Drosophila melanogaster: one gene and its partner. The gene in region 2 interacts genetically with the main gene of each other region. Each region holds a gene or a part of one and is shown on either strand. Other genes may lie near its edges.

Region 1 (6,355 bases), on a different chromosome or scaffold from region 2:
TGTAGCAAGATATATTTTTTTACAAGTATTAGCAAGAAAATTATTAAATATTGCTTATTACTGTGTAAGGTGTAAGTTTTAAATCTATTTGATCATCAAAACAAGTCGTCGAACACAAGTGTAATACAAGGTAATTAATGAGCAATTACTGTTATTGATTGGCTTAACAATAAACTGTAAATCACGTTAAAACGTATATGCAAAAATTGTTCAACAACGTATAGACATATTTGCTTCAATACTGGATCACCATAAGGAAATCTTTCGCGGCGAAAGCAATTTGCATATTTATAACTATAGAACCTTGATAAATTAACAGTCGGTTTTCCTTGAGCAGTGTGTTTGCAATATAAGTGTCGAAACAAATAAATCTAGTCTAATACATCTACCTACGTTGGCTTCCTGGGGTTTATGCAGGTATGATCACTATATGAGTAAATCAACCTTCTCACAAAACAATCATTACTAATTTTCTTCGATTTTATCGACTGGAAGTCACCACATGTGAAAATAAGCCCTCCATCTAACCTTTGCATACAGACAACGCCTACAACGAGATCTATGGTCATTCGTTCTTTATTATCCCCCAAACCACGATCACCATTCCCCCCGATACCACCGATTTCAGATACACAGTGAATACCGAAAGCAATTCCATTTCAAATCCCATTAAGATTTGACATAATTTGAAATTTGGATTTTACGTATCTTTACCTTACTTCGCGTGAATGTAGGGGGGGGATGGAGAGGGGTAGATGGGAGAGGTGGAGAAAAGACAAGAGAAGAAATGCGCAGCGTAACCCTAAGACATCAACGGTCAGAGTTGTTGGGCATCAATAACCAATGACTGAGACTGGAGAGTTGGTAGATGGTACACGGCAAGAAATGCCATGTCGATTCAAAACTTTGAGTTATATTATTAATCTGATGATATAGAAACTCATTGAAACGATTTTATTTTAGCTTTTGACTTCTTAGCCTCTTTAAGAATAATTATATGCATAAATAAATCCTCATAATATCACCATCAATGCATCCCCTTTTCTCTCCGTGTATTTGGGAATGTTCAGGGAAATAAAGGCGTGCATGGATGGGGCAGGGGTGGCGAGCGCGAAGGGGAACGGGAACGGCTGCAAGACGGAGTCAAGAAGTCCCGAAGAAACGAAGAAAGGCTAAAGAAAAGAAAAACAATAAACGTTAACACGAACACGAAAATAAAATAACTCTCTCACGAAGTTCCCCCTTTTTTTTGTGTGTGGGTTACATGTGCCTGTTTCGCTGTGTGCGTGTGTATCTCACGGCTGAATGTATCTGTGTGTCTGGCGGTGTGAGTGCTGCGTAGATGTTCATTTTACTGTACCATAATCGCAGCCCCAAATTGATCACCATCATCAAGAAGGGAAAAAATCAAAAAAAAAAAAAAAAGAAAGAAAATAAAAATCATAATAAAAAGAAGCTGAGAACATAAGAGGCAAAAGGCAGCACAAAAGTCCAGGGGAAAACGTAATCACAAACACTGGGCAACATCATCGATTTTCGAACAAGAAGGCTGCGCAGTAGACGTCGACGCAGAGGCAGAGGCCGAGACCGAGACAGAGGCGTCTTGATCCCTTCTCGCTACCGCTCTTTATGGCCAACTCTCCCGCTCTAGCAAGGTATTGTTGGGAGCACAACGGCAATATGACAGCAATACCAATACCTGTGCGACTTACCTGCCGCTGCCGCTGCGCAGCGGCCACTTCGAAATACGAAATACAAAATAAAACCAAACAAAGAGGAATGTGTGCGCGAAAGATACCACCAACAACACAACGGCAACAGCAACAGCAACAATGACAACAACAACAACAACAACACGAGTTGAGGCTGGGACCAAGAGACTTAGGCTACGTCTGCACAACATACAGGGTGTCCACTGTGAACGAAGGCTTTCAAAAGCAACACTGGCCAGCAGGGTAATGAAATCGTTTAGTTTCAATACATTTGAAATCATTTAAAATGCCTAGCCGTATAGATATAATAAAACTTATTAAAAAAACATGCAGAATGCATTTTAATTTAAAACCGCACGAACTAAATGGATTTTATGCCTACATCTCCAGCAAAATTGTTTAAAAATATTTCTATGAGATTGTCGTTGTCAAATAATATCGAAATAATATCCAATTACCATTTTTCTATTAACTCCATCGAATCAACTTGACGTACTATGTATAAATCTAGCTAAAATATATCTTATAGTTTGGTAATACCATATGTTTTTTAAAAATATCAAGTTTTGAAAAATATTTATTTTTGAAAAGTTTCTACACCCTAGTAGTGCCCAAAAAATGCCCGCTTTTATTGCTCTCTTTATTGGGAATACCAGCTATTGTGATGGAATCTCCCGAAAAAAGGGATCTATAAGCCGAAAACCAAATGGTCAATAGGGTGCTATATTTCTGACGGTGTAATCCCTCCATGAACCGACCAGGGCTACATAGCCTGATGCGTTTATAATTACTTCTTGGTAGGCTAAGTACTACTCACTTTTGGGCCGGGGTGCCTTGAGCTCTTGGGATCAGGATGCGGATTTTGGCACTTGGTGAGGATCTATGGCACTCGAGCACGCTGGAGCAGTGGATCGGATCGGTGGAACTGGAGCTGGATCGTGGACTGGAGTCTGTTTGCTTTGGGAGTCTGCAACCTGGGAGTCTGGAGCTGTAACTGAAATGTGGCTGCTGCTGCTGCTGCTGCTGTTGTTGGTTGCTCCGTTGTTGCTGTTTTGCTGGTGGGTGCACCTTTCGCCACTCTTTGTGCTGTTTTAGTTGTTGTTGTTGTTGTTGTGCGTCTGGGGGCTTTTAGCCTGGCTCTCTGGGCCTTTGGCTTACACAATGCTCTCGGCTGGCTGCTTTTGGCCGCTTCTAATGTGCCACTCTTTGTGGTATGTGGAGCTGTTGTTGTTTCGTTCGCTTGGTGCTGCCTTTGTTGCTGGCGGTTTGTGCATTTTGGCCTAACATTTGATGTTGCTGCTGCTCATATTGCTGCTATTGCTACTGGAGGGCGCAAAAGTTGAGGGGGCGGGTCGGTTCGGGGGCGTTGCGCCTGGCATTTGCGTTTTCAAGCCAATTTGTTGTTGTTTTTTCTATTTTTCTATGAGTATTTTCACTATTTTTTACGCGCTTTCCGCACTAGCATTTGTTATTGCTGCTGGTTCTGGCTGCTGTTATTAATCACTATTTTTATTTTGCATTTTATTATTCGCTGCTCAGCTTTGATGGCGTCTCATTCCAGCTCGCAAGCGCACACACACAGGCACACTTTAAGCTCACGCTCTCCGAGAGACATGCACACGTACACACACACAGATACTCTCGCACTCAACACACACGCACACACACACGAGGTTTTTTTTCGCTTTTTCAGCCTTCTCTTCCTCTTCGTGGCTGAAATTCGTGTGTGTGTTTTATTTAATTTCGAAAAAGTTTAAGCGCGACTTTTTGCTGTTTGTTTGGCGTAGAAACTTTTGGATTTTTCGCAAATATCGCGACACACACGCGCACTCACAGGTAATTTCGATTTGAAACGATTAGTCGGATTTGAAACTATATATTTTCGGTGTATTAACTTGCTGACTTTCCGTGTGCGCGGAAAACTTGTCGTCGCTGTCGCTGGATCTCGGCTCTTGGCTATAATGCCCAAAGAGTCAATTGGAGATTGTTCAACTGTTGAATGTGCTGCTGCCGCCGCTGCTGCCACCTCTGCCGACGTCGTCGTGCAGTTGTATTGGTGGCAAGGTGATGTCTGTGTTCGCGGCGCTGGTTAGAGAGCGCTCGATTATTATTGCTTTTTATGGTTTCATCTCTTTCGTAACTGATATTGAGCGAACGCGGCAGCGACGCCGGCAGCGCAGCGCCACTCAAATTCATTCGAATCGATGATGTTGTCTCTACACTCCCAAACACCCATACAAGTGCGATCTAAAACACAGGTAGCCCAGTGCTTCCATCTGTGTGTGTGTGTGTGGGTGCACCTGCAGAGGCCGAAACGCAGGCAGGTACAAAAGACTTAGGCAACGAACCTTCCACTTCAGCATGCACTTGCGGCGAAGGGAGATGGCAGATCAAAAGAGAGAGAAAGAGAGAGGGCAAGAAAGAGAGCCACAGCCACCCTCGACACGGGCAAACCGCTCCTGCATTTCGTATCTCCCGGACTTTGCGTTTATTTCTGTGCTGCGGCATTGCATTCATCGTCGAAAATTCGAATTCGCTGCTCGGTTCACTCTACTTCGCTTTCGAACTCGCCGCCTTGTTGTTCTGTTTTTGTTGTTGTCATTCGGCTTGTAAACCGCGTGAAAGTGGTAGTGCAATCGGGCATCAGGTAGAGAAACAAACACACACAACAGCGGGAGAGAGGTGGAGAGAAAGACCGAGATCACCGCATGCCAAGAGAAGTCCCTGCAAAAAATTACTGGATACAAAGATGCACTTTCTGAAAACTATTCCGCGGTTAAGCAGTTCAGATAATTAATATAGTTCAACTCTTAATTCTTATATAAAATACTGTTGATAGGTTTCCTATACACAAGCTAAATCACTAAAGCACTTTGTATGATTAAATATTAAAAAAATTTACGAATATTGCATATATTTAACATAAAATCAAATAAATCAACTCGAATTGTTAGCACTGTGAAATGAAGGATTTTTTTCTCCGTGTGGCATACATACGTAAAATAGTTGTGCATGTACCACAATCGAAAACGCCAAGTAGCTGCCGTGCCGCCGCAGCCTCCGCCGCTCTCTGTTCCGTTCTCTCGGCCTGGCTTTCGGTTAACCTCAGTCGGGCTCCTACAACCTCACCTCGCCAGGCGGCGCGGCAATCAGCGCTGTGTCGTGTGGATCGGCGGACGAACCGACGGACGGTGCTTGTGTGCTTTCCGCCATGGTAAAGGGTGACTCCCCCCAGCTTCCTTTCCTCCGAGCTCCCCCCACTTGGATCCCGCACTCACCAATTCACGTTGTTTGTCTTTTGGCGCTGCGCACGCGTGGAACTGTGGTTAAGAACGTAAAGCAGCGGGCGCTAGTTTTCACTGAAGCACTAGACATTCTACGCAATGTAAAATATTTATGTAAAATGCAATTTTACAGTAAATATTTAAAAAGTACATTCATGATGATAAGTAACAATAAATAAAGATAAAATTAAAAATATTTAATGTAATATGTTGAGTTCCAGGAGCCCAATTACAAACACTTGCATCTCAAGTTTGAATTTGAGTTTTATTTTCATTTCGGTTTATTGTTGCAATATATTAAATGTTTAAAACTAAATTTAGGCTTAGTTTAATCCATTTTTTATTTATTGATTTTGCCGTTTTTGCGTTTACACATTAGTTGATTTTCATGTAATAAATTTAATTTGTGGTTTTTAACTGGTCGAAACATTTCACTAATGCTTGATTACGTTTTTGTACATATACCGCTAAGTAGTATATATATGTATGCATGTATCGGTGTGTGTGTTTTGTGTGCGAGTGTGGCGGTGTATATAACTAAAAACAAACAACAATCGCATTAAATGTACTTATATATTTGGTTTTTTTCTTCAAAAAGTCTTATATCTGTCCGTTATGCAAAAGTAAGAAACCGAAGAGAAGCATTCACAAACAAACATTCCATCCCTCCGCGCGTCCCTTTGTCCAGGACATTTTTGTCTAACCTGATTGCCTAAAATTAATGTAACAAACCATGGAAACGTTGATGTTGGTTCTCGGATTCTCACCGATCCGCGGATCTGCCGATCTCATCGAACACTATAATGCAAAGGCGTTTGTCGAATTCTCAATTCCAAGTAGCAGCCTGAGTGACGCGTGAAAGTCAAGTTTCAAAGGACTAGGCGGAGATGTGATTTACCATATGAATCCAGAAATCGGACCTTCGATCGTGTCTAAGCTGTTATAAAAATATAGGAACTTATGCGGGGGTATTCCAAAAATATCTCTATATTAAAGAAAAACTCATTTGGTGTCCTTATGCTGAGCACCTTAAGATTTGAGAATAAGAAAAGTAAGTAACGTTGGCTCGATTGGTGGAAAACAATATTGAAATCATATATGCTTTGAGTAAACTAGATGTTGTTTAATTGCTAGTAAAGTTAATATACTTGTGTTTGCTGTTCTTGTTCATGTCAGAGTGTGATGGATGGGGTTTTGTATCGATAGATGCATTAAAACTAGGCACACCAACTAGCTACGAAAATACATTCCCTGCTCCCCGCAACGAAGGTACACACATTAATATTGTACTTTAAAATATTGTGCCTCGAACACAAACAACCTAAGGTCAAAGGAAACCAACTTAAGATCGAAATAACA
Region 2 (5,954 bases):
GGGCTAATTAAGTCATTAGCCCGAAAATGTCCTGCTGCTGCTGCTGCCGCTGCTTCTGCGCATAATTAATCATTTTAATTGTCTGACTCCTTGCTAAAGGACAAGGGGAAACCAAGGGACAATGTGGAAAGTGCAAAGGGCAGATCGACATTCCAAAGGTTGCCCTCGAAAACTGCGGGGGAGTTCTCGCTGTTGTTGGTTATTTATTGGAATAGGCACATTTGGCATGTGCTTCCCCGCGTTTCACCAGGCGTCAAATTCTCGGGCACAAAATGTTTTCATTCCGGTTAATTGAGTTAATTGAGTTTTGAGGCAACCCTTTTTCTGTGGCCTGGCGAAATCACTTAGGCCACTTACGAGCAAGCATTTAGAAATACATTTGAAAACTAAATTAAACACAGGGTCTAAGTAAATTTGCTTATTTCGAAGTATGCAACTTTAGCATGGCTTTACTCGCGCTTCAAGTGATATATTTAAACTCAATATTCTAAATTCAAACTGTTTAAAATTTACAATTTGGACAGATCTACATAGGTACTATTTCTAAACAAGCAAAAGCGCAGTCCACAAAATTCTTAATATGTTTCATAAATCATTTCTACACAACATAATCTAACAAATATTTTCAAAAAATTGTAAGTACCAAACACGATAGATGACACGATAAACAATATTTTATGGCTTTAATAAACAACATTGCCTTCTCAAAACTGCTACTTTATAGCAGTTATATAGTCTTAGCGACAATGTAAAACTTTGCCAATCAGTAGCAAGCCCGCACTTTCCACCGGCAACACCCACCCACTGAATGACGCTGTCATCAAGAATGACGTAGGCGACTACCCCGGAATATTTCTGCAATTTCTGTAGTGTCAAGTTGAAGTTCATTCATACACACATATGGGTATCTGCACCATGTGATTTTTTATAAGCGCCTTCTAAATAGATAAGATAAACTTGTATTCAACGAAATTCGCGCATAGCTGCCTTAACTTTTAAATTTGCCGTGTGACAGTATTTTTGGGGCTAAATTTTGGTCAACATCTAAAATTAGCAAAAATTTCGGTTGGTCAGAAATAGGTTTTGTGGTTTATTGCAGCCACAGGCAAATGAGTTGGTCAAAGTTCAAACCTTATCAGTGCGAATACAACGATGCGATTAGCACCTATCGTGAGTTGGCTTTCCCACGCGACTGATTCACTGGCAATGTTTAGCCGAATAATAAAGGGTACTGGGTGACGCTTGTTGTTGCACTTTGTGTTGTTAGTTAATTGGTATTTGTGCAAGTCCACGCTACCTGGCGAAATACGTCAAAAGCACTGGAAAAGGTCTACGCGCCAAAAAGCACAACCGCCACCAAACGCAATCCAATCAAAAACAAAAAGCAACTGCAATCTCTCCCTTTCACAATGTCTGTTTGAAAACCGTCACGTGATTTGTCGCCGTCGACTTAGGGGGCTCATTATAGTGACAGAACTCTAACAAAAATTAGTAGACTACTGTATTTTATATATATATATATATATATTTTTTTTTTTATATATAGAACATTTTAGTTGAGCTTTATGTTCGAAAGTTGTTTTTCTAGTGACAGATAACACCTTGTAGCCTACATTGTGGCCCAAAAAATTTCAGAATTTTCGGTTAGATAGTTACCATGTAACCGTTTAAGATATTTAGAGTAAGAAAAAGTAGGCTTCATAAATGATTAAGATGACTACAGTTAACCACCCCAAACACTAACAGAATTTGTTTGTTTTACTTAAAATCCAAAAATAATTTTCTAAATACAACAAATAAGTACACAAAAAATAAAAAAAAATTGATTCATATTTTGCATTTAATGTTTGAGTACAATGTTGAGCTAGTAACACAGTAGTTTTTAACCACTCATTAAAATTTATAATTTATTCAGCTACAAAGTATAAATTAGCAACGAACGAAATACAAATCTTTTATAACGGTGTTTTTGATTCTGACGCTAATGTATGATGAATCAACGAGTTGGCAGCGTTTCAATCACTTGAGCCGCAGTTTCGTCAGATCGGAAGGATGAATTGGGAATAACAGATAAACCCCATATCACACCTAGGGAACCGACCGACCACCATTCACTACAGCTGACCACCGACCACCATTCTTGGCGTTTACCTTACTCGCCCACTACTTGCTCTCACTCTCTCCGTCTCCCTCCCGCCGAACCGCACCGCATCGCACTCTCTCTCTCGTGCTCGTTCCGTCGCAAACGTGCTCGGCGTGAACGCACGAAGCGTCGCCTCATCGACAGGGTCTTTTTGCTCATGGCTTCAGTCTCTGACTAGCACGCTTGGGGAACACACAGTGAGCGGAGCGTCCGCAGTCGCAGTAGCACTCGAAGTCCGCTTATCCGCATCCGCAGCGTTTTCGAATTTTTCAGACCTACCATTCGATCCGATCCGATCCATCTGGCACATCCTAACCATCTCTAATCGTAACCCCATCATCGTGATCGCGTCCGTAATCGCTCCGTTTTAACGTACTCGATGTTCCGGTTTTGTGTGCAATCGTTTTCAAAGGAGATCGAAACAATAATCTCGGCGGATAGGAAATTTGAAACACGAATGTTCGTTTCGCAATCCAAGAGAGTCGTTACAATTTGAAAAGCCCGCAATAAAAAAAAAAAATCGTTTAGATGCGAGCAATTCGAAGATCGGAAAATATATAAAAAAATAAATATATATATATGATTTGTGCTGTGTTTGAAAAAGGAATATAAGAAAAAAATTATGAAAATGTTGAATTGTTGTTGCCGTAAGTTTTAAAGTGTGCAAAGTGCAACTCTCTGAAAATCAACGAAGAATACAACGCGTCCAAAAAAAGAATCGTAAAACTGAAAAAAAAGCAAACAAACATAAAACCTAGGTGCGTAATTTTCTGTTTCAACGCTGTTACATAAGTTCTTTTTTTTAATAAGTTTGTTGTTCCTCCAAGTATTTGTTCGAATGTTGCAAAATATTTCATTGGATTTCGGTCTTTGGAGCTTAGCAAAAGCAAGCCTAAAATTATTGAAAGTTTCAAGTTTGCCGAACGGAAAAAATATATGTTTTTCTGTATTATTAGATTTGATGTTTTGAAATACTAAAATTTATAAAGAGTTTCAGTGTTCTTTGGTCGCGCAATGTTGGGCATTTAAATAAAATATTTTGAATACGTTGAAATGTGGCAATTTGTTTGGTAACTTTCAAAATAAATTTAAAACATTTTCCACTTGGCAGCGGGCCGAGTAATAAGTGTATTTAAATGACCCACGAGGGAAAGTAATTAAATAGCAATATGTATAAAAACGAAATAAATTGATTTCAACAAACAAATAGCAAGCTAAAGCAAATGGGCAAAAACTTAATTTATATTAGTGGCATGCTAATTGAAATAATTTAGTTCATATTTGATTTGATTGATCAATACCTGTGCAGAATGATATTCACTTAAAACGTAATCTGATTGCATTTAGGTATAAGCGAATTAAATTTGATTTGCAGCCTAGTTTTTCCAAGTACTTTTCCGCGTTTATCTGCCCCAAATAAACAATTGGTAAAGCAAACAAAATGTAGCAAAATGTTTTTTTTTGCCAACCGGTGAAAGCAAACGACCTTAGGAGAACCCACTCTATGAAAGCGAAATTCATATAAATTTAAGCACACGATCTTTGGGATTATTTATAGTTTTTTTTTTTGCAAAACGCATATACATTTGCGAATCTTTATCGCCGTCTTGAAATGTATCTGTATCTGCGTATATGCGAATTGTGCGTATCTCTATTTGCAAACGCACGCAGGCGCTTTTAATCTCATTTCGCTAACTTTTTCGCAATAAACTTTTTTTCTGCTCACTCTGCGCGTGCACTTTTTGTCCTATAAATTGGCGGCGCTGACTATTATCTAACATTTGTGCGCTATTATCTAAGCTGGCTTGTTGTTCTTGTTCTTCCTGCGGATGATTTGCGCTGCGTATCTGTATCTGTATTTTGTATCTGTGTGCGAATTTGCGTTATTGCCGCACGCTAGTATGCGTCGGGTTCAACAACTGCTAATCACATGCCGGATCACAGTTTGGACAGCCGAGCGACAGACAAAGTGCGAAATATGGGGATCGCGATAAAGAATAAACTGAATGAATTTCGGCTGTGTGGACTAGCGGGTGATATCCTTCAAAATTAATGGCAGCGAAGAGTGCTTAACTCAAATCAGGGTCATTATTTGTAGAAGCTATTAACTATTTGGTATTTTCAGATTTTTTCTGGTCATTTTTCAAACTTATCTGGGGTCTAGGGAAAATATTAAAATTTTGGTTTATTACCTTTTACTTTCCTTTCATAACTTTTTTATTGGTTTACAATTGTTCCAGCAATAAGGGCTATTAGTTAGTATTATAATCAAGTTAATCTTTTTTGCTAACTTACATAAGCCATAATAAATCTTATCTTCTAATTCTAATTGTATAACTTATTAATAACCAAAAATAAGCGATAAAGATTCATACATTAATTATACATAATTGAATTGTGCCTCTTCAAATGCCGATCAAATTTTATTTCCTTTGCCGTTAAAGTTCTCACGTCACAATTTCATCAACTAAAAAATGAATATCCCCCAAGGGCAAAGAAAATAATTGGCTAATTGTTTAGTACCGCTTACGAAACGGTTTCTGGCTACGTCAACGATTGAATAATTGAAAAGACCACCGTAAATTTAGACATTAAGACATCAGTTTATGCAGAAAAACCAATTGAAGTGATTAAATTGCATGGGCAGTCCCGAATTAATTGAAAAGTAAATTTATATTTTGGTAGTAAAAGAGTTGCGCGTGGAATTTATATTTCCCCGGAGACTGTCGTGCATGCCTTCGGACTTCAGATGTCATAAAGCCAGCCAATTATCAGGTTTAGTTCTGAAACGCACGAGTTGGGTAACTTTTCGCTTGGGCCTGTGACACATTTACAAATTGTGCCTGATTGATGGGGCAGCAAGCCCAGTGGAGCCAAAGTTTGAAATACAACGATCATAATTCGTAGATAGATAAAGCTTATCGCATGCAAAAGAAAAAAGTTTTATGGCCGTGCGTAAATAGTTTTGCGGTTTGTTTTTCTTTTTGCCCAAAAGTGGCGCATAACACTCGGAATATAAAGTCAACCGAAGTCGGCGAAAGAAGGCGGAAAATGCGGGAAACTCAGTAAAAATGTAGCGTTTGTTTTAATTAAGCGTGAACACTAGACCACATAATGTGCGGCATACATTTAGAGACGCACACACACGATCGCACATGGCAACAGCTTTAGGTACACCGCTCAGTTAAAAAGCGAGCAACAAAAAGGCAAAATGAAAACGAGAAAATCGTCGCGTATTTTACTCAGGTTGTTGTTATTCTTGTTGTTTCTCTTTTTTTTTTGACGGTTTTCCTTCTTTTTTTACACATATATATATATTTTTTTTTTGGTTGTTTGACGCATTTTAAAAATATCCTAGACGCAATTGTTGTTTTGTTGGCTGTCTGTTTGTCACATTACTAATACGTCGCGTTGTCTTTGATTTCGTCGTTTTCGGTTGGTTTTATTTTAAAACGACGGTTTTCCTTTTAATTTTCGCACGTAAAGTGCGTGACTTTTAATTAGACTACAATAAATGTGCGAAATTGTGTGGGAGATGAGTCTGCCAGTGGGCAGTGTGTTGGTGAAGGCAAGAGATACATTTTAGGTGAGATACATGGTGAAGGTGACAGAAACCGACTTAAAGTCCTAGGGTACTTCCTGTTTTCAGAAAGAATATTTATAAACTAATATTTAAGCAAATAATTTTAACAAATGAAAAATGATTTGTTAACAAGTTTTTCATTTTGAACTTTTTAGGGAACTAATTATTATATGTAGACTATCTCTAGAAGTAACTTTCTCATTTTATTTTCCTTTCTATATGGTGTCA

Evidence for each region. A genetic interaction does not mean that the proteins touch.
Region 1: of bnl (region 2) and grh, changing one suppresses a phenotype caused by changing the other (phenotypic suppression), as found in Drosophila melanogaster (one study listed by BioGRID).

Annotation. Positions count from the first base shown.
Region 1 is NT_033778.4:17,799,566-17,805,920, reverse strand, and holds the start of grh (grainy head), read right to left. Parts: upstream 3,676-6,355; 5' UTR 2,530-3,675; intron 1-2,529. UniProt on the Drosophila melanogaster protein: Transcription factor that binds a CNS-specific regulatory element of the Dopa decarboxylase (Ddc) gene. Also interacts with sequences adjacent to other transcription units, including Ultrabithorax (Ubx) and engrailed (en).
Region 2 is NT_033777.3:19,833,209-19,839,162, reverse strand, and holds the start of bnl (branchless), read left to right. Parts: upstream 1-2,345; 5' UTR 2,346-2,901; intron 2,902-5,954.